2 linked regions of the Lonchura striata genome follow. The protein of the gene in region 2 interacts with the protein of the main gene of each other region in a pairwise test. Links are inferred from orthologs where the notes say so. Each region holds a gene or a part of one and is shown on either strand. Other genes may lie near its edges.

Region 1 (10,315 bases), on a different chromosome or scaffold from region 2:
TGGTGCCTGCTGGGGACGTTCCCAGCTCTCAGGTGACCTCCAAAGGCCCTTCCCACCCAACTTTTCCCTGGGATGGGGATAAAGTTGGTGATTTATAATTTAAACTCCTCTAAATTAGACAAATTGCAACAAAATAAATGGAGCGAACTGCTGAGTTTCACCTCATTCCTCATATATCTCCAATTCCCTGAAATCCCAGAGGATTCTCCCATCATTAACATCTCCAGAGGACTCTTCTAGAAAAAAAAAAAAAATGTCCAGGACAACTTTATTAAGTAAATTGAAACCCTACAAAAAGAAGACTAAATCATCTGTACTATTTAAATAGAAATCAAATTAATAACTACATAAAATAGTTGAATTAATGTGTAAAAGAACAGCTCTGAGCTGCTAGCAGAAATCAGTTAAAACCACTTTTTTTTTTTTTACTGTCACCAATAGTTTTGCAACAAATTAAGAGAAAAAATAAAAAGGGAAAAAATTCACTTTTTTACTTCAGAAGACACAAGAAATGAAGCTAAACAGTAGAGCAACTAAACAAAAAAAAAAAATCCTGTCAAATAATCCCAACTCTGGCTGTGCCTACAACTCTGGAATTCCCCCAGCTGCTATAAAAGCAGCAAAATTCTGCTGTGTGACACCGGGGCAGGTCTGGTTTGTTCTCCCAGGGGTGTTTGGCAGCACAAAATTCCTGCAGAGGTGTCCTGGAGGGGGTGGCCGTGTCCCCGTGCCTGTCCCGGGCTGTCCCCGTGCCTGTCCCGGTTGTCCCGGGCTGCCGTGCCGGTAAATCCCCGTTTCCCAGCCAGGGATGTGAGATCACCGCTGGAATGTGCAGCGCTGCGAGGGGGAAGGGACAGGGGAAAATTTCTCTTTGGGGGGAAATTCACTGGCAGGCAGCGTTTGCCATTCCCCAGGGTTCAAACAGGATTAGGAATCCTTTTGGAATGTCCCTGCCCTGCTGGAAAAAGAAGGCAGCAACTCCTCAGGGCAGTTCTCAATGCTTCCTGCTCCTCATTTTGATCTTTTCAGCCCAAAATTTGAGGGCTTTAAGTCCTCTTCAAGCTGGTTTATCCATTCTGATTTCCTTTAAAAAATGGACTGATCAAGCACAAGAGTTAGCTGAGAACAATCCCAAAACCAGGGAAAAACTTGAACTGAATCCACTCAAACTCGACCTAGGAGAGTTCCAATTAAAACCAACCAGAAACATTCAGAGATAATTAGAGAGGGATATGAAATTCCAATAAATCCATCCCTTCCAACACGTGCTTTGCCTCACAAACAAACAGGGCTGTGTGATTTGCTAAGCAGATTTACCTGGACCTCAGCAGCCTGAAGGAATCAGGACTTTCACTCTCACAGGATTTTAATAATCAAACTCTCCCCCTTGACAAAGTTCATGTTTGCTCTGCTGAGCTAAAGCAAACAAAGCAAACCAGCCAATTAACTGTAAAATTCATCAGCCACGGGAGTTTTATTGAGAATTGAGCATTAACGGGGGTTTTATTGAGAATTGAGCATTAATGCTGCTCCACGGGTTAAGCAGCACTAAAAAAAGGCATTTAAAGATGTCATCAGTTCATTCCTCCTTTGCCATGCAAATGACAATTTCCAACAGCATCATGATTTAAAACCATGAAAAAAAAAATCCACTCAACCTTAGCTGGTTTAAAAATAATAAAGTTACAGGAGGATAATTCAAACAGGGAGGATATTCGGCTCTAACAGGGGTGGGAAGAAGGGGAAGCTCCTGTGCACAAACTTCTCAGCTCCACATAAAACAGCCCCAAGAATTTCCAGCCATTCCCACCAGGCCCCAGGACATTTTTCTCCTCAGAGCTGCCAGCCCAGGTTTTATATCTGAAGCCATAAATTAAAATTTCCGAGCTGTGCAGGGCTGGGAGGTGCAGCAGCCACACACAGACTGGTCACTGACTTCACCTCAGGAGGCAGAAAAGCTCCTGGTGAGATCATGATAAGTGAAATAAATTTTAAATGATCATTTTTAAATGATCACAGAGTATTTTTGAAGGTTCACTGAATCCCTGGTTTGGAAGGAGATGAAAACTTCCACCATCCCAGGCTGCTCCAAGCCCTTTCCAACCTGGCTTGGGGTAATTCCAGCCACAGCTTCTCTGGGAAATCCATCCCAGCCCCTCACAGGAAAAAATTTATTCTCAATATCCAACTTAAACTCGCCGCTTTAAAGCCATGAAGCTTCTGAAGCAGCCCTGGTTAAAAGACAACATTGCAGGTGGAAAATGGAAACATTTTAATCTTTATTTCCAGAAGATCCTCACTCAATTTTAATGAAAACACGGCTGCTACAAGGCTGGGCTTTTCCAACTCATCTTTTCAAACTCTGTCTTCTTATAGGAATCCTCAAAAAAAAAAAAATTAAAGAAAAATTAAAAAATAAAATCCTCCTCCCTGAGCTGGGACCTCCCACATCAGGCACATCAAACCAAAAATCTGCAGGAATTAAAGGAATTCAATAAATAAAAGGAATTTTTAAAAAACTTTTGGAAGGGGTAACTCTGAGCTGGGATTTATTTGGGACAGCCCAGTGACACGGAGGGCTGGAGCTGGATTTTTATTTCAGAAATATTATTTTTATTTCTCACCTGAACCCCTGAGCTCTGGGGGAGCTCAGGACTGAGCCCCAGCAGCTGCAGGAGGATGAAAATGGAGCAGAGAGAGCTGACACCCCAAAGTGACAGCACTGACACCCCAAAACTGGGCTCCAACAGCTCCCGCCAGCTGGACCCAGGCACTGCAGCCCTGGCACCCCCAAACTCAGAGTATTTCACCCAAAGCCAGAATCTGCAGCCCTGGCACCCCCAGTACCAGGGTGCTTCACCCCAGCACCCCCAAACTCAGAGTATTTCACCCAAAACCGGGCACTGCAGTCGTGGCATCCCCAAAACCGGGGTATCTCACCCTGACACCCCCAAAACCAGAGTATTTCACCCAAATCTGGACACTGCAGCCATGGCACCCCTAAAACCAGGGTATTGCAACCCTGGCACCCCTAAAACCAGGGTATTTCACCCAAAACCGGGCACTGCAGTCCTGGCACCCCCAAAACCGGGGTGTTTCACCCTAGCACCCCCAAAACCCAGGGTATTTCACCCAAAGCCTGGCATTGCAGTCCTAACACCCCCAAACCCAAGGTATTTCACCCTAACACCCCCAAACTCGGGGTCTTACAGCCCTGGCACACCCAAACCCGGGGTACTGCAACCCAAACACCCCCAAAGCCGGGCACTGCAGCCCTGGCACCCCCAAAAATGGGATATTTCACCCCAGGATCTCCAAACCCAGGGTATTTCGCTTTGACACCCTCAAAACCGGGTTGTTTCACCCCGAAACGCCCAAAGCCAGGGAATTTCACCCCGACACCCCCAAACCCGGGGTATTTCAACCCAAACACCCCCAAAACCGGGGTATTTCACCCTGACACCCCAAACCCGCGGTATTTCACCCCGGCACCCCCAAACCCGCGGTATTTCACCCCAGTCCCGGGCTGCCTCACCCTTCACGCCCCGCAGCTCCCGCCCAGCCCGGAGCTCCCCGGAGGCGCGGCCGGCGCTGCCCTCAGCGCTCAGAGCCCCCGGGCCGCCCTCCCCGGGAGCCCCCGAGGACCCCCCCAGGCCCCGCAGCGACCCCGCCGTGACTCAGCGGCCGCGCCGGCCCCGCCGCCCTCAGGAGCGCCCGGGACGCCGCTGAGGGGCGAGGGCGGCGGCGGCGGCGGCGCGGGGCGGGCGGGCTGCGCGCACCGCCCGGCCTCGGGGCGGCTTCTCCGGCCCCACGCCATCCCCTCGCCGTGCCCGGAGCTGCCCGGGCCGCGCCCGCCCCTCAGGGCCCTCACCCATCGCGGCGGCGGCGGCTCCGGTGGCGGCGGCGGCGGCCAAAATATGGCGGCACCGGGAGGGGCGCGGGCCCGACGGCGGCCGCGCGGGGCCAAAGCTGTGCGCGCGGAGCGGCCGCCGGGCGCCCCCAGCGGGCGGCGGCGGAACTGCACCGGCGGCGCGGCCCGGCGGCCACCCGTGTCCTGACACCCGTGTCCTGCCACTCGTGCTTTGTAACCCGTGTCCCGCCACCCGTGTCCTGCCACCCGTGTCCCGCCACCCGTGTCCCGCCACTCGTGTCCTGCCACTCGTGCTTTGTAACCCGTGTCCCGCCACCCGTGTCCTGCCACCCGTGTCCCGCCACCCGTGTCCCGCCACTCGTGTCCTGCCACTCGTGCTTTGTAACCCGTGTCCCGCCACCCATGTCCTGCCACTCGTGTCCTGACACCCGTGTCCTGACACCCGTGTCCTGACATCCGTGCTTTGTAAGCCGTGTCCTGGCACCCGTGTCCTGGCACCCGTGTCCTGACACCCGTGCTTTGTAAGCCGTGTCCTGGCACCCGTGTCCCGACACCCGTGTCCCGCCACCCGTGTCCCGCCACCCGTGTCCTGACACTCGTGCTTTGTAAGTCGTGTCCTGACACCCGTGTCCTATCACCCGTGTTTTGTAACCCGTGTCCTGTCACTCGTGTCCTGACACCCGTGTCCCACCACCCGTGTCCTGCCACCCGTGTCCCGCCACTCATGTCCTGGCACCCGTGCTTTGTAAGCCGTGTCCTGGCACCCGTGTCCTGCCACTCGTGCTTTGTAAGTCGTGTCCTGACACCCGTATCCTATCACCCGTGTTTTGTAACCCATGTCCTGTCACCTCTGTCCTGGCACCCGTGTCCTGGCACCCGTGTCCTGCCACTCGTGTCCTGCCACCCGTGTCCTGGAACCCATGTCCTGACACCCGTGTCCTGTCACCCGTGTCCTGTCACTCGTGTCCTGCCACTCGTGTCCTGACACCCGTGTCCTGACACCCGTGCTTTGTAACCTGTGTCCTGACACCTGTGTCTTATCACCCGTGTTTTGTAATCTGTGTCCTGTCACTCGTGTCCTGTCACCTCTGTCCTGGAACCCGTGTCCTGTCACCTATGTTTTGTCACCACTGTCCTGTCACTCGTGTCCTGCCACTCATGTCCTGTCACTCGTGTTTTGTCACCTCTGTCTTGTCACCCATGTCCTGCCACTCGTGTCCTGTCACTCGTGTTTTGTAAGCCGTGTCCTGCCACCCGTGTCCTGTCATCCATGTTTTGTCACCTCTGTCCTGGCACCCATGTATTGTCACTCGTGTCCTGCCACCCGTGTCCTTTCACCCGTGTCCTGTCACCTCTGTCCTGTCATTCGTGTCCTGTCTGCCACTTGTGTCCTGCCACCCGTGCTTTGTCACCTCTGTCCTGTCATTCATGTCCTCGCATTTTGTCACCTCTGTCCTGCCGCTCGGGTTCTGTCACTCGTGTCCTGTCACTCGTGTCCCATCACTTCTGTCCTGTCACCCGTGCTCTCTCCTGCCCTGTCCCCTCTGTGCTGTCCCTCGTGTCCCGTTCCCGTGGCCATTCCCCAGCAGATCCCCGAGGATCTTTTCGGCTTCTGTCCAATTGTCTACTTGTCGTGGTTTGACACGGGAAAAGAATTTTCCCGGAAAGAAGAGTTCAATTTAAATATTGACCAATTAAAGGTAGACACGCCTCTGAGAACACAGAGGGGTGATTAACAAAATTCCCAGAAAAACTCACTCTCTTTAGTTCCAGAACACCAACATTGCGCCAATGTCAAACCATAACATCTATCCTTAATTTTGAGGTGGTCCCCAAGGTCCTATGAGGTGTCTTTTAACCAAATTGAGGAAACTTTTGTCCTTTTTAAGGAGAGTTACTTTTTTACTCCATCAACAGGGGCCACACTCCCACAGGTTCTTCTCCCTGTCCTGAAGGAGATGTGAGAAAAGGAAAATTGTGTCATCCCCACCCTAGAGGAAATGAGGACACCCGGGACAGGCAGAGACTCTGAGAACTCCTTTAATTGCTGTTAACTGCAAAAGGTTTGGAGAAAGTCGTCGTTACAAAACTACCAGCTGTTAGAATTGCTCCTGGTTTCTCACCCCAGCTAGAAAAGGCTCAGGGAGATGTGGAATAGTTCGAGAACGGAGAATATTGCACAACCAACCCAAGGGTTAATTCGGCTAAAGAAGAAAAGGAAGCGACACGGATGCTGCAGCCTCAGCCCCAGGTCCCCACTGGTGTCCCCCGTGTCCCCTGCCCACCACAATCCCAGCCAGGACAAGCTGAGGCTCTGCTGGACACAAGGCTTTGGCAGGAGAGGGATGCTCCCACCAGGAGCCACCCCAAAGAAGGAAAACCCAAATTTAAAACCCCAACTCTTCCACGTGCACCTCGTTTAGTGTTGTCCAAACCCAGCAAGGAACCCCCAGGCCTGAAAAGGGCAGCACAAAGTGTCACCCCAGCACCCCCAAGGCCAGGGAGAGCAGCGAGGGCACCGTCCCCTTGGGATAACCGTGCAGCAGCAACATCTCGTGTTGTGACAAGGAAACTGCCCCCAAAAAGAGGCCTGAGGGGGGTGAAGCAAGCAGAGGAGGAACCCAAGTGAGCACAGCAAAGCTCGTGGTGGCTGCAGGGCCTGGCACGGGTGGCACAGGGGTCAGATGGGGACACACGGCCTCTGCCAGCAGGGATCACCCACATTTGGGAGCTTCTTTCTCCCCAGGCTGGCCAAGCAGAGGTTGAAGTGCTCAGTGGGTCAGGCTGGGCTGAACTGGCCACCAACACGAGGGGTTCTGCTCCCAGCTGACCCAAACCACTGCCAGCCCAGCAGGGCTGCAGTAAGAGCAAGCCACGAGGATTTTGCCTGGAGAATTTCACTAGAAAGACACAAAACCCAGCGCAGGAAGGTGGTGCAGCTGCAAAAGGTGGGGAGCAGCAGGCCTTGGCTCTTTGAGGAACTGCTGGAAACGGGAGTTTCCACGAGAAAAAGCTTCCAAGACAAAAAGCCAGGCAGAAGCTCAGGGTTTGGCAGGGGGGTTTGGCTCCTTCCAGGGTCAAAGCCACGAGCCAAGTGCCTTTTTCTGCAGCACCTCCAGCCCTCAGGCCCTCCCTGGGTGCTGCTTTCCAGGTGGGAATTGCAGAGCAGGCACAGCCACGTCCAGGATCCTCTCAGCTGTAGGTTACACGTGCACACACAAGCAAGGAAGGAGCCAGCTGGCAGCCTGGCAGCACCCAGCACTCCTGGCAGGGCTCTGAGTGCCCAGCTGGCCCCAGGGACCCCTCACTCTGCCTCTCCCTAACACGGCAGGGTCAGTTTTGGCTTGGCCAGTCTCTAGGACCTATGGAGAAGTCAGGCTCCTGTGTGCCAGCGACCTCCTGCTTCCTCCTCCTGCATCTGAAGGGGTGACTTGAGTTGCCCCCAGGTTTTTGCAGGGATGGAACTCCTCCAGCCTGGAACTGCAACCCCCAGCACAGTCACACACAAAGGAACAGCCGGTCCGAGATTGGATTCACATTCGATGGTGGAAATGAGCCTGTGACACACACTGGAAGCAGCTGCTTTATTCCCAGTCTTCCCACTCTTCATCTTCCAGCTGCAAGCAAGAGGAAATCCGTTTCTGAGCTGTTTCTGAGCTGTTCTCAGCTGTTTGTTTCTGTAACTCAACAGCTCCTCCTTCCCAGGGCACCTGATGTATCCTCACACTCCCACAACAGGGATTTGCCTGCTCTGTTCCCCTTGGGAAACCTGCACACTCATCCCAGCACCCCGAGGCCTTGGTGATGCTTTTTGGGGGGCAGTTTTGCCTCTCCTGACTCACCTCCCCAGCCACTTCCACCTTGGAGAGCGCCAGCTGCACCTCCTCTTCTGTCATGTCCAGATCAAAATCCTTTTCCCAGTCCTCGCTGATATCCGTGCTGGAGCCTGGAAGCACAAAAATCCCCACTGAGCCACCAGAGCTGGCCCCAAAGCCCTGGAATTCCCAGGGCCCAGAGCTACCACAGCCTGCCTGAGGAGGGAAAGCCTCCACATTGCCAGGAACAGCTCCCCGACACAGATGGGATGGACTGAGCTTGCTTCCCTCACTGCCAGGGCTGGTGCAGGACCAGTGGGAGAGGTGGATGCTGAAATATTTTCTCCTCTGGCCTGGGAGAACTGGGATGTGTCAGGTTCCAGCCACACAGAAAATGCAGCAGATAAGGAATGACAGGAGGGACTTGGATATGGGGACTGTCATTGTCCCAGCAGGGACACCCCCAGGGATGACAGGCAGAGGTGACACCCTCCAATCCACTGTCCCTTTTGGAATTCTATAATAAAATAATAAAATTGGCTCTTTTTTCTCTCTTGATCTCACCACAGAGCACAGCCTTTCCTGGCATCCAGGGACCAAGGGCTGCTCTGCTCAGCCAGCAGACCTTTGATTTCTTTCCCTTTCCTCTCCCTCAGCACCAGAAACCCAGAGCTGCCCCTCCCGGCGGGTTCCCAGCCCCACACAAACCTTTCTTGCCGTTGTTGGAGGGGGTGGATTTGCCACTGTCCGAGTTGAGCTCGAAGACTCTCAGATCTGTGGGTCCTTCCTCTGATCTCAGAGTCTCTGTCCTGCCCTGCCCTTTGCTCTCCAGCTCTCTGAGCTCTGCTCCAGCTGGCTCCAAGGATGCTGCTGATTCCTGGGCAGGTGCAGAAGGCTGAGCAGCTTCTGGGGGCTTGGGCAGGGAGCTCTGCTCTTCCAAGGTGGCCTCCAGCAGGCTGGGGGAGAGTTGGCCGGCGCCCACGGGAGGAGCTGCAGTCTGTGGCTGGGTGGCAGGCACAGGGGCAGGGTTTGCAATCTGAGTCACCAGGGACACGCTCTCGCTGCTCTCCGAGGGGCTCTGCTCCACTGGCACCAGCTCTGGGGGCAGCACAGCCCAGCTCTCCCCCGAGGGACCCTTGGGAGCAGCTGGGGGGTTTCCCTCCGAGCTGGGCTCTTTCTGTGCTGCTCCTGGGAATGTGATGTTTGCACAAGGCAGGGGGGACATCCCCAAGAACTCCTCTGTAGGGAGGCAGAAGAGAAGCGAGAGATGTTTCAGCTGGGCTGGGAGCTGGATTCCACAGAATGGCCCGAGCTGGGAGGGACCCACTGGGAACATCCAGTCCAACCCCAACAACCTCACCCTGGGCACCCCTGAGAGCGCTGTCCTGAAGCCCTGCCAGCTTTGGGGCCCTGCCCATTCCCTGGGGTGTGGGTCTCGGATTCAGTCAAAGAAAGAAACTGAGAATTTCTAGCCAGGCAGAAGCCTGGGAAGGAACTGGGGAAGAATGTAAATAATTCTTTATCTCTCTTGTTTTTCACGTTGTTTATAGTTAAGTTCTAGCAGTGTGTGTCAAGCACTCTGCACCAATGCTTTGGGTTGTTTTCACTTCAAAACGAATTGATTTGGTCCTTACAAAGCTCTGTATAAAAGAGAGGTGTATTTTGAATAAAGGGGAGTCTTACTTTCACAGCCTTCTGAATCAAGTCTATTCATCAGTGCCCAGCACCCTCTGGGGTAGAACATTTCCTGATATCCAACCTCAAGCACCTGACACAGCCCCAGGCACTCCCTGATGCCACCACTGCTCACAGAGCAGAGATCAGAGCTGCCTGTTGGGATTTGTGGGAGTGAGGAGGAGCCACCACCCCATGACAAGTTCTCCACAAAGCCTCCCAGAGCCCCCAAACATGTCCCACCTTCGTCCTCCTCCCAGCCTGGCTCCTCTTGGTGCATGCTCTGCTCTGCTCGCTGCTTCAGAGCTTCCCTCCGGGCTTCATCCTGCAGGAATTGAACACCAGCAGACGCTCACATCCCCCATCCTGTCGGAACTCAAAATGTCCCTCAGGCATTTTTGGAGGTTCCAGACCCAGGTCAGAAGCATTTGAGACCCTGGCAGGCAGCTGCAAACAGCTGTGATTTTGGGTTTGAGCCATGGGATGATTTACCAACTTTGCAGGAAGAACAAGAAGTCACAAAAATGTAGATATTAGAGTAGAAGTAGTCACAAAGAAGAGGAAAAATTTTTGAGTGCTGTACAGGGAGGTTTTGGTTTTGTACATGGGGGTCAGAGGGTTTAAGATGGATTTGGGATTTGGGCCTGCCCTGTCATCCCTCTTTCTTCTTCCTCACCTCCATGTTCTTGGTGATGTTGGCACTCACAGATTGGTTTAGAGTAGAAAAGCACCATTTAATATAGGTAATAGGCATTGGGGAAAAACTGTAACCATGTAACACGTAATGTACCATATAAAAGATAGAAAATCACCATTTAATATAGGTAATAGGCATTGGGGAAAACTGTAACCATGTAACACGTAATGTACCATATAAAAGATAGAAAAGCACCATTTAATATAGGTAATGGGCACTGGGAAAAACTGTGAACATTTATCATGTAATGCACCATCT
Region 2 (9,818 bases):
AAGGAGGAGTACTAGAGACACTACTGCTTCCATTAGACAGCCCTTCCAAAGGCTTTATTCCTGCACCATTCCCGAATCCACTGAAGCCACCTCCTCCTTTCCCAGAAGGCAATACAAAGCCTTTAAACCCTTTAAAAGCTCCTCCACTTTCAGACTGGGGAGAAAAAAAAAAGAGAGACAGTTACATACATCTTCTCCATGCAAATCCTGTCCCCACTTAATATTGTTGATATCCTTGGTTTGTTTTTCCCTAGTTCAGCATGTCATTCCATGCATTACTGTGTCAGCTACGCAAACAAAATTAACAGCTTCCTTATGACACACAGTGCTTCTGTTTTTAACAGACTCAGATGTTTGGTATGAAAATAAACTGGATCTAGGATGTGGATACATGGAAGTTGCTCAGAGCTGTGGATGTGTTTGACTGCCTATTAGACATTCACAGTATCTTGTTTTCTTTAACTACACAGGATTATGTAATTTCAGGTTTATTTTCAACAACTTTGAGCATTTACAATGGCAGTCAAGAGCCCAATACTTTAATCCACTCATCACTCTGGAAACACCTGTGAAACCTCTTCTGATTTACCCAAAATACTCCAATGTGACTGATGGAAGATGCAAAGACAAACCGTACTTGACCACAAAATATCTGTATCTGCAAACTTTTCATTACCCAGTTCTAATCACTGTCTTTGCAACCGTATTATTTTATGGTATAGTTTCTTACGTGTTTCTAAAAGACAAAGTACAATTAACATGCAAATAAAGAACTGCAATTTTAAGGCCTTTGGAGGTCATGAACTTTTACCACTCAAAGTGAACTTTCAGTGTCTCTGGAAAACCATCAGATGAGAACTGCTTCTGAGTTTCATCTGCTTTTGAAGAAATGGCAAAGCTTGTCCATTCCAGTATCTGACCTTGTGGTTATGGGTCTCCAGCACAGTCCTCTGCTTCACATTCCTAGGTAAGCATTTTTATTATGTTTCTCTCTGATCAGTCCCACCTTTCTCTCTGAATATTCCAGTTAAACTGCTGTCTTTTTCACTGAAGCATTCTGCTTACTCCATGTAGGAACATCAGCAAGTTTACCTTTCTGTAAATATTTCACAAAGTTTCTTACACAACTTTAGCTGTCCTGTCATCTCTTCTGCATTTTAGATTTTGTCCAGCCTGTTGTCCTGGTTTTGGTTGGGATAGAGTTAATTTTCTCCCTAGTAGCTGGTACAGTGGTGTGGTTTGAATTCAGGGCGAGAAGAATGTTGATAACACAAGGATGTTTTAGTTGGTGCTGAGCAGTGCTCACTGCAATCAAGGGCTTATCAATGTCTCATGCTCTGCCAGCAAGCAGGACAGAAGGGGTTGAGAGGGAGCATGGCCAGGACAGTGACCTGAACACAGAATGTCATGGCCAGCACGGAAACTGGGAGGGGCGGTGGCTGGGAGCAGCTGATTGCTGCTTGGGCATGGGATGAGGTCAGTGGGTAGTGAGCAACTATCCTGAGCATCACTGCTTTTTCTGGGTTTATTTCTTTCCCTTTTTTTGGTTCCCTTATCATCATGATCATTATATTTCAATCACTAAACTGTCCTTATCTCAACCCAGGCTTTCACCCTTTTTTCCATTCTCCTCCTCATCCCACTAGGAGGAAAAGTGAGGGGCTGCATGGTCCTTAGCTAGCTGTCAGCTGGAGCTGAAGTATACCAGCCCTTCTACCAGCTCTAACAGCCTGCTTCCAGTCTCCTGACTACTTCTACAACCCATCTGATCCCCTTTCTCAGCCTGTTCTATTTTTCCTATTCCATTTGCCCCTGAATCTCTCCTGCTCAAGTTGTATTTATGTTTTGTATCACCTCCTTTCAATACAATCCTTTATTTAACTGTATCCTCTACCACATTTGTGGCTAAAACTACTCAAGGCATTAGTGAGCTAAAACAGCTTCCTCATTTACAGTGCTTGGACTGAAGAAGGAAAATCAAAAGCATAGGAGAAGGCTCTCTAGCTCCTAACTGTGCCTAGTCCCACCAAGTCCTAAAGCAATCTGTGTAACACATAAAGCTCCAAGCCTATTTCTAACATGATGCATACCCTGTTCAAAGGATGTCTGGGAAAAAAATATACACAACAAAGCATTTCTCAAGGATTCCTGAAAGGACAACAATTTGGCTGGACTGGGATAAGGCTTTCACAGGGACTAAACCTGTAACAAAGGCCAGCTTCCTTTCAATTTTCAATTCGCTAGTGCAAAGAGTAGATAGCACTAAAGCTCTTGACAGGGAGGGAGAAAAAAAAAGTAGCAGCATTCTTAACAAAATACACGTTTCTCATTCTCAGAGCAGCTTAGTATTTGGGTATTTACTAACATAGCTTCTGAGACATCCCCCAGCCCTCCAGTATGGATAACTAATAACTTTGCATTTCCATACTTCCATCTCTACAAAAAATGCAAGTAAAGCAGTAAAAACGTTGTTTTACCCATTTGCATAAAACACTGTGCCTGAAACACTCTTTATTTTTACTTCACAAATATGCAAGAACACCCTGCTCACCTAGTCAAACTAGTATTACCCTTTTTTTGCCTTAGTCTTATTCTTAGCATGGAACAGTAAAGCCAAAGTTCATGTGCACATATGACCCGGTGAGTCAAAATGATAACTTTACTCAGCATCACTACAAACCCAAGGAAGTAAAACCCTGAGTGTGGTGTTGTGTTTTGTAACTGAGTAAAAGCCCAGCACTCATGCTCAGTGACTACATTACCTCTGACCCAACATTTCGGCGCTTTGCTTTTTTAATAGCTCTGTTCTTCAGGACCTCTTCACTTGCCACAGAGAATGTTCCCACCTTGAAGAGGAAGTTATGGAATCATTAGTGGAATATTCAAAATACACAACATGAAGGGATGGCCAAGATCAGGTTTTGAACACAACTCTAACACTGCTACCAAACAAACAAGGGGAGAAGTTAAAATGCAGCACTGTCATCGGCTTACCAGCTACCTGCAGGTGAGTTGATACTTGGAAAACTCTTTCTGGTTCTGCACTACATTTCTCTTTGTGCTATTTCCATTTTATTAAAACAAATAATGTAAGTTTTGTTTTGCTTTTTTAAAACACAGCTCTAAGATCTCTCTGCTGAAGGGAATCTGTCAGTAATCCACAGTTTGGAACAGTTATATGGAGATGTGGGCTCTAAGGCAACCTCCAGCAGCCTGCTGTAGTTCAAACACTAGCAAAGACAGCTAATGGCTCAGTACCACCCTGCAACAAATGAGGAAATTAAGTTTTCTTATATTCAAATTCCTGGAAGAGTTAGTTTTCTTTTTTACATTTACAGGCCTAAGCGTTTAATACTTTTAGTTGGACAAAAACTAAACCAGTTTGTTTAAATATGAGCCATAAGGGAAGTATGAGACATTAAAGGTGAAAATGTCTTTTTACAATTAGGTGAAACATACCACTCAACTATTTGCCTAATTCCTCCGGCTGTGTGGAGAAATTCAGCTAAAATTAACATAGCTCTAAAATCAGCTATTACTGACCCTCAAAAAATATACTGGAGGCATACAGAGCATTTATCTCCAGAAATCAAATCTGCTTTTAAAGAGTCCAAAAGCATTTTAACAAGCCTGGGGTTCCCTCTAAAAATATTAAGTTCCTTTCTCCAGAACCACTGACGAAATTTTTACTCTTAAAAGCTGTTTTGCTATATGGTCTGCATAACTGGAAGCTTTATAGAAATAATTTTTTAAAAATCCACTTCTATAAAATTATCTTTAATTGCTAAACTTTTAACCAGTTCTACTGTAGGTTTTATGCACAAGATACACAACAAATGTAAACAGCTACTAGCGGGGAACTAATTTGTATTTTACCTCTTCAGCTTCATCCTCTTGGTCCCAGTTTCGGTCAGTCAGTTCCTTTTCAGCAATTCTCTTTGCCATTTTTCCACACTTGTTGGGGAGAAACAAAAAATCCTAGAAAGAATTGCACAGAAATTAAATTCTAAGTGGCAGTGATCTTCAATTTGTATTCTTAGAACAAAAAAACAGGAACTGCAGTTCATATAGAAGCAAGTCAAGATTGGAATGACAACTGAAAACCAAGTGTTGTGGCAAAAACAGCCAACAGCACTTGAGATTCAAGTTGTGGTGATCAGCCATATTCAATCTTAAAGAACAACAGAAATGTACAGTGCAGTTATGGGATAAATATTATTTGGCAGATGGAAAAATTCCTTTCGGAACCATAACTCATATACTCGTATTCTGAAGGGCTACAAAAACCCCAAAGCTGTGGTTAAAACATTCCATATTCCACTCCACATTGCCACCTCAGGATACCTATGTAAGCAGCAAGAAAAAAGGGAGTTGCTTTATAACATCTGAAATAAATACTAATGAGGACCCACTGAATCAGCTGAGCAGAGAGCTTGGTTAAGACCGAAGACAATGCTCTCCTTTAAAAAATTGGACTGGTTGTCCATTACTAATTTGAAAAAAAAATTAAATAAATGAGATTGGCTTTCCTACAAAGGACACATAAGTCATGCCATGGATTTTACAGCAATTACTGTAAGCAAAGAAATCATGATTTTGCTGGTTATCTCTGTGATGTAAAGCAAAATCAGCTTTGCAGAAGGAATGTCTGTAACTGTTCTCAGTCCCATTTTACTAACGTATAACTTATGAGCTGTGTACAAAACCAGAAAAAGAAAACATGGTAGCTGGATTCAGTCTAAAAAACCGGGCAAGCAATCACTGTACAGGAATTTTATGTGAAAAAAGATGTATTTCACTAACTATGGTTATATCTTCTGATACTAAATGTGTGTAAACTTACCAAAGGAAATATGTAGTTTTGTTGCAATTTAAATCTCAAACAAGCACAAAAATTAAAACTCTTCCAAAACCCCCTTGGGTTTGTGATTAAGACCTGCCCAGAAAAAAAAGACAAAAAAAAAAAAAAAAAAAAAAAAAAAAAAACCACAAATAGCTGAATTTCAGAGCCAGAAATTGTAACAATATATTGTTACAAGGCATCTTGTTTATATATTGAAACATTTTAGAGCAGCAAATCCAGAAGGACAGCAGTCTTGGGAGATGATACATCCAAGTCCTAAATTTTGTCTGACATATATCACAAATAAGGTCAAGTTACTAGAGCTTCTGGAAGTAGAGGGACAAAGATTGGCTTGTGTATACATATTTAAATGCCCTGATCCACTCTGTCCTGAAAGTAGACATCCTTGCCTGATAACCCCTGGGAGATCATTTCAATCTAACCCACTGAAAAGCTAAAAACAAGTTATTTTAAAGTCACCTTTATTTAAATTATTGTTTCATTATATAATTTTTATATAGAATGTGTTAAATTATGTAATACATTTTAATTTTTAAGTTATAATAAATAAAGGTATTCTGTATATATATGCTGCGTATATTCATATTATGTATATATACTATATATTATACTATAATATACTATAGTATACTATATTATATTAGTATATAATATACTATAATATAATTCATATTATATATAATATACTATATACTATAATATAATTTAAATATATTAGTTTCATTATTACATTAAATATTTGAATTATTGAAAGAGCACATTAACTACAGAGCCTGTCCCCCGCCAAAAGAGAGAAAACCTTGTCTATGTAAGCTCCAGATTCTCTGCACCCACTGGTGTTTGCACAGTTTCTCTTTAAAAGCATTGTAGAGGATCTAACGTGACTCTAACAGAGAACTTGAAGTGAATTCTATCCCGTGAAACAAGAACCAGCACAAACCTACATCTGGTTGGTGTTCACAAACTTCATGAAGCTTTCGGAGCACGTGTTCTGAACAGGCTGACATAGAAGTATTTTGAGAAACGTATCGAATAATCACGGAATATCCCGAGTTGGGAGGGACCCACAAGGATCACTGAGCCCAGCCCCTGGCCCCGCACAGACACCCCAACAATCCCACCCTGTGCATCCCTGAGTGTTGTCCAAACGCTCCCGGAGCTCTGGCAGCCTTGGGCAGTGCCCATTCCCTGGGGAGCCTGGGCAGTGCCAACACGCTCTGCGGGAACAACCTTTCCCGATATCCACCCTGACTCCTCTTCGATTACCAATCACGCTCAAAAACATTTCTGAACACGTTTAAAAACAACGCAGCGCAGCCGCGCTGCTGACCTGCAGAGATAACAACACCCAGCAGCTTCATAGCCTGTTTACCGCTCTCTAGCCAGGCTCGGCGGTCACCCGGGCAGCGAGGCCCGGAGCCGGCGGGGCCGGTGTCCGTGCGGGTCCCGGGATCCCGGAGCCGGCTGCGGGCCCGGCGGGAGGAAGCGGAAGCCACCGCGGATCCGCCGTTCCGCTGCGGCTCCCGGCGCCGCTCGCCCCGTGCCGGCCGCGCCCCGCCCGCTCGCCGCACCGCGCAGCGCTCCGCGCCTTCCGGACCGCAGCGACCCCCGCGCCACTCACTCGCTCGCTCGGGGCTCTCCCGCGGGAGGCGGGGTGTCCGCAGAGGCTGCACGGCCCGGTGCCGCCGGCCCGGCCGCTCGGTGCCGCCGGCACACGCGGGGCTCGCCGCCGCTGCTGCCGCCGCGGCCCTGAGCGGGAAGGCCGCGCCCGCCGCCGGCCCGCGCACCGCGCGTGCGCCCGCCGCGGCCGGCCGCTGCAGTACCGCCGGCGGCCGCGGGGGGCGCCGCCGAGGCGCGTGTGGCTTCCGCCGCCGGCCGCGCTCTGCGCAGGTCCTGCCGGGGCCGCCGGGAGAAATCGGATGTTAGAAGGAAATCTTCATTCTCTGCTTTTAACTGCGTCTTTGAGTGCCGCCTTTTCGTGCTGGCGAGGTACCGGTGCGTCCTCGGCCAGCAGCCTTTTGTGTAAAATAGTCATACAGTTTGGTGGCTGCCCGCAGACATTTCCGCCCCCACGCACATGCTGATAAAAAAAGTTCCTCGCCTATTTATACATTTTTATCAAATATTCCCTGGTTCTGGATTCTATAATTAATCATTGTGAAAAAATGTTTTATAATTGGATTTTCACAGAAGTTACAATGAATATTATATGTGTAATGTTAGAAAGTTAAGCTGTATTAATTCCCTTACGTAGTGTGTTAAATGTAGTTTTAGGTTCCAACAGAACGTTAAAATAGACACTATGTATGTGGGGGAAGTTGTTTTTTGGTTTTTTTAGGGATGAGATACTCGATTCGAGGAACACCTAAATCGTCCAAGAGAAGATAAATCTATTGTTTTCTCATCAGAAGAAGCGAATTTCTTCAGGCCTTGCTCAGACTCGAAAACACCACGGAGATTAAAGGAAACAACATACAACAGACAGAGTTTCTTGTTTAAAATAGAATGTATGCATAACCATAAAGATGTATGAATATGCAACAAGTGTATTGTTTTGAGGTTATTCCTTTATTCACAAGTCATGCTTTTCATGACTTAGTGTCTGAGAGCATCCAGACATCCATAATTCTTTGCCTTTTATTGTCTTGTAATTGTCCTAACTCTAAACTTTTATTACTTTAATTGTATTACTATATTTATAACCATTTTATTATTATTAAACTTTAAAAATTTTTAAAAACCAAGTGATTGGCGTTTTTCACATACATTTTTATCAAATAGCCTCTGGTTCTGAATTCTGTAATTCATCATTTTTTGTGGAAAAACTCTGATCACTTGTTTTTATAAAATCTTTTATAAAGTCATAAAATAGTTATTGAAAATAGTAATAAAATCAGAATAATAAAAATTTGGACAATGAGGATTAGAACGCTACGAGACAATTAAAAACAAAGCATTAAGGATGTCTGGATGTTTTTGGGCACTGAGCTGCCAAAACCATGCCTTGTGAACAGAGGAATAACCCTTACAAGTAACAGCCTGTTGCATATTCATATATCTCATACATTATGTATAAATTCTTTGCAAATTAAGAATTTTTTCTGCTTTTTGTCAGCTTCTTCCCCTTAATCCTGGTGGTTCCATAAAGAGGGAGAGAAGGTGGAAAAATGTTTTTTCCAGTAAGGAGCCAGTACCTCTTTATGTGCCCTGTCGCTGTTATCTCTGCAAAGAGTTTCTTAATTATCTTCTCCCTTTTCTTGAGCTAGTAAAAAAAAAAAATCTTACATCATAGTTTCTATATTAGCATTATGTTATAACCTAGAGCTATATTTAACACAATACTTAAGAGAATTAATACAGCATAACTAACATTACACATATAATATTCATTTTAATATTTGCAAAGAGTCAAGAACGAGTATCTCATTCTTTTAAAGAAAACTCCACATACATGGTTTCTATTTTAACTACAAAACTACATTTAACATACTATTAAAATGTTAATACAGCACTTCTAATCAATATAGTATAATACGTATAGTATTGAATTTAATATTTGCGAAAAGCCAATCATAAAAAGTGCATTTTTCAGATATCATGTTGAAATGTAAGAAGCAGGAAAATAAAAAGGTCTTCTTTATTAAAATACATTTTTTATTTAACTAAACATTTTCTCCACTGTTTGCACATTTTCGTCCAGAAGTGTAGCTTTTTTCATTGCTTTATCTGTCAACTTTTATTTATTTTAAGTAGGGCACTTGCAGTGCTGAAGGGAAAGGCTATTTGTAAAATGTTCTTTCAATAAGAAATAAGGAGTTTTCCAGGGTCACTTAATAGGATTCCAGGCATTTCCCCTATCACAACCACCCTACTCCAAAGAGTAACTTTTTCCTTGCTATCAGATAAATGCAAAATTTGAGAGAGTTTATATAATGTATATTTATGAAACTGGATCTTTCCATTGCTCTTCAAACACCAGCCAGGAAGAAAGTCTGGTATTTGCTTTGCTCAGTTTGCAGCCATTGCATTTGTCCATCTCAATAATCAGCTACACTGTGAACACACTCTGTTTGAATTAGGGATAATTAAGATAAGGTCTGCTGCACAATCTGCCACCTGTTTCTCTCGCCATCATTCACACAGGTGAGGCCACTTCTGTGGCTCTGTAAATAGAAGGTGATTCCACTGCCTTTTCCCAGGAGATGGGAGAAACTCTTCTGGCAGCCAAGCTGGCTGGAGAGTCAACACGGTGAGTATAGCATTATAATAACTGTCTGAAATGAGAATTATAAACTGCAGAATTCTTTAGAAAAGTAGAGCAAACATTTTTTAGAAAATAACTTTGAAATAAATGTTAAAGTGAGGGCTCTAAGGAGATTTTCATTTAAGGGTGCTACATTTGATGTCTGAATTATTTGAAACTGCTATTTGCTTTTCTTGCAATCAAATATTTCAGGAAAATGGTATTCATAGCTATTGTACAAGATATTTTCTAAGTCCTTGTGATTCAAATATAAAAAAATCAAGAAACATTGTGATTTCCTCTCATCTTGTACTTTATTTTTCATACTCCAAGATAATAAAGCCCTTATTTCACATCTAGAAATACTTGAAATAATATGCTTTACAGGTAGGAAAGAGGCTTAGCAGCAGTTAAGCTATTATTTTCACTAAGCCAAATAATAGGCTTTAATAAAAAGCCTCTTCTTAGCTGCGTTGTCCATTGTTAACATGACTACATCAGTCCTGTATTATTCCTATTTTGAAGGACTCTTGATGGTGCTTTTTTCCTCATGAGAGTGGTGATCTGTGTGTTAGGAGCTGGTCCTGACTGATGTGCCAGTGGTGCCTGTCCATGGAAAGCCAGTTTTTCCCCAGGCAGCCTGTGACAGCTGGTGCACGTGGGCCAGTCATCCCAATACAAAGTGCATGGCAACTGAGATAATCTTGCTGA

The links.
Region 1: the proteins of NUP50 (region 2) and KPNA6 interact in binary tests that used the Homo sapiens proteins (3 or more experiments, as listed by UniProt). The two-hybrid records come from large-scale screens. The link is inferred for Lonchura striata from reciprocal best matches to the Homo sapiens genes NUP50 and KPNA6.

What each region holds. Positions count from the first base shown.
Region 1 is NC_134628.1:972,538-982,852, reverse strand, and holds the start of KPNA6 (importin subunit alpha-7), read right to left. Parts: upstream 3,939-10,315; 5' UTR 3,876-3,938; coding exon 3,872-3,875; intron 1-3,871. Other genes in the region: BSDC1 (BSD domain-containing protein 1), read right to left, coding at 7,456-7,488, 7,714-7,817, 8,395-8,925, 9,604-9,685. UniProt on the Homo sapiens protein: Functions in nuclear protein import as an adapter protein for nuclear receptor KPNB1. Binds specifically and directly to substrates containing either a simple or bipartite NLS motif.
Region 2 is NC_134607.1:5,816,991-5,826,808, forward strand, and holds the start of NUP50 (nuclear pore complex protein Nup50), read right to left. Parts: upstream 3,973-9,818; 5' UTR 3,946-3,972; coding exon 3,877-3,945; exon of another isoform or gene 2,847-3,876; coding exon 2,763-2,846; intron 968-2,762; exon of another isoform or gene 155-967; coding exon 1-154. UniProt on the Homo sapiens protein: Component of the nuclear pore complex that has a direct role in nuclear protein import. Actively displaces NLSs from importin-alpha, and facilitates disassembly of the importin-alpha:beta-cargo complex and importin recycling.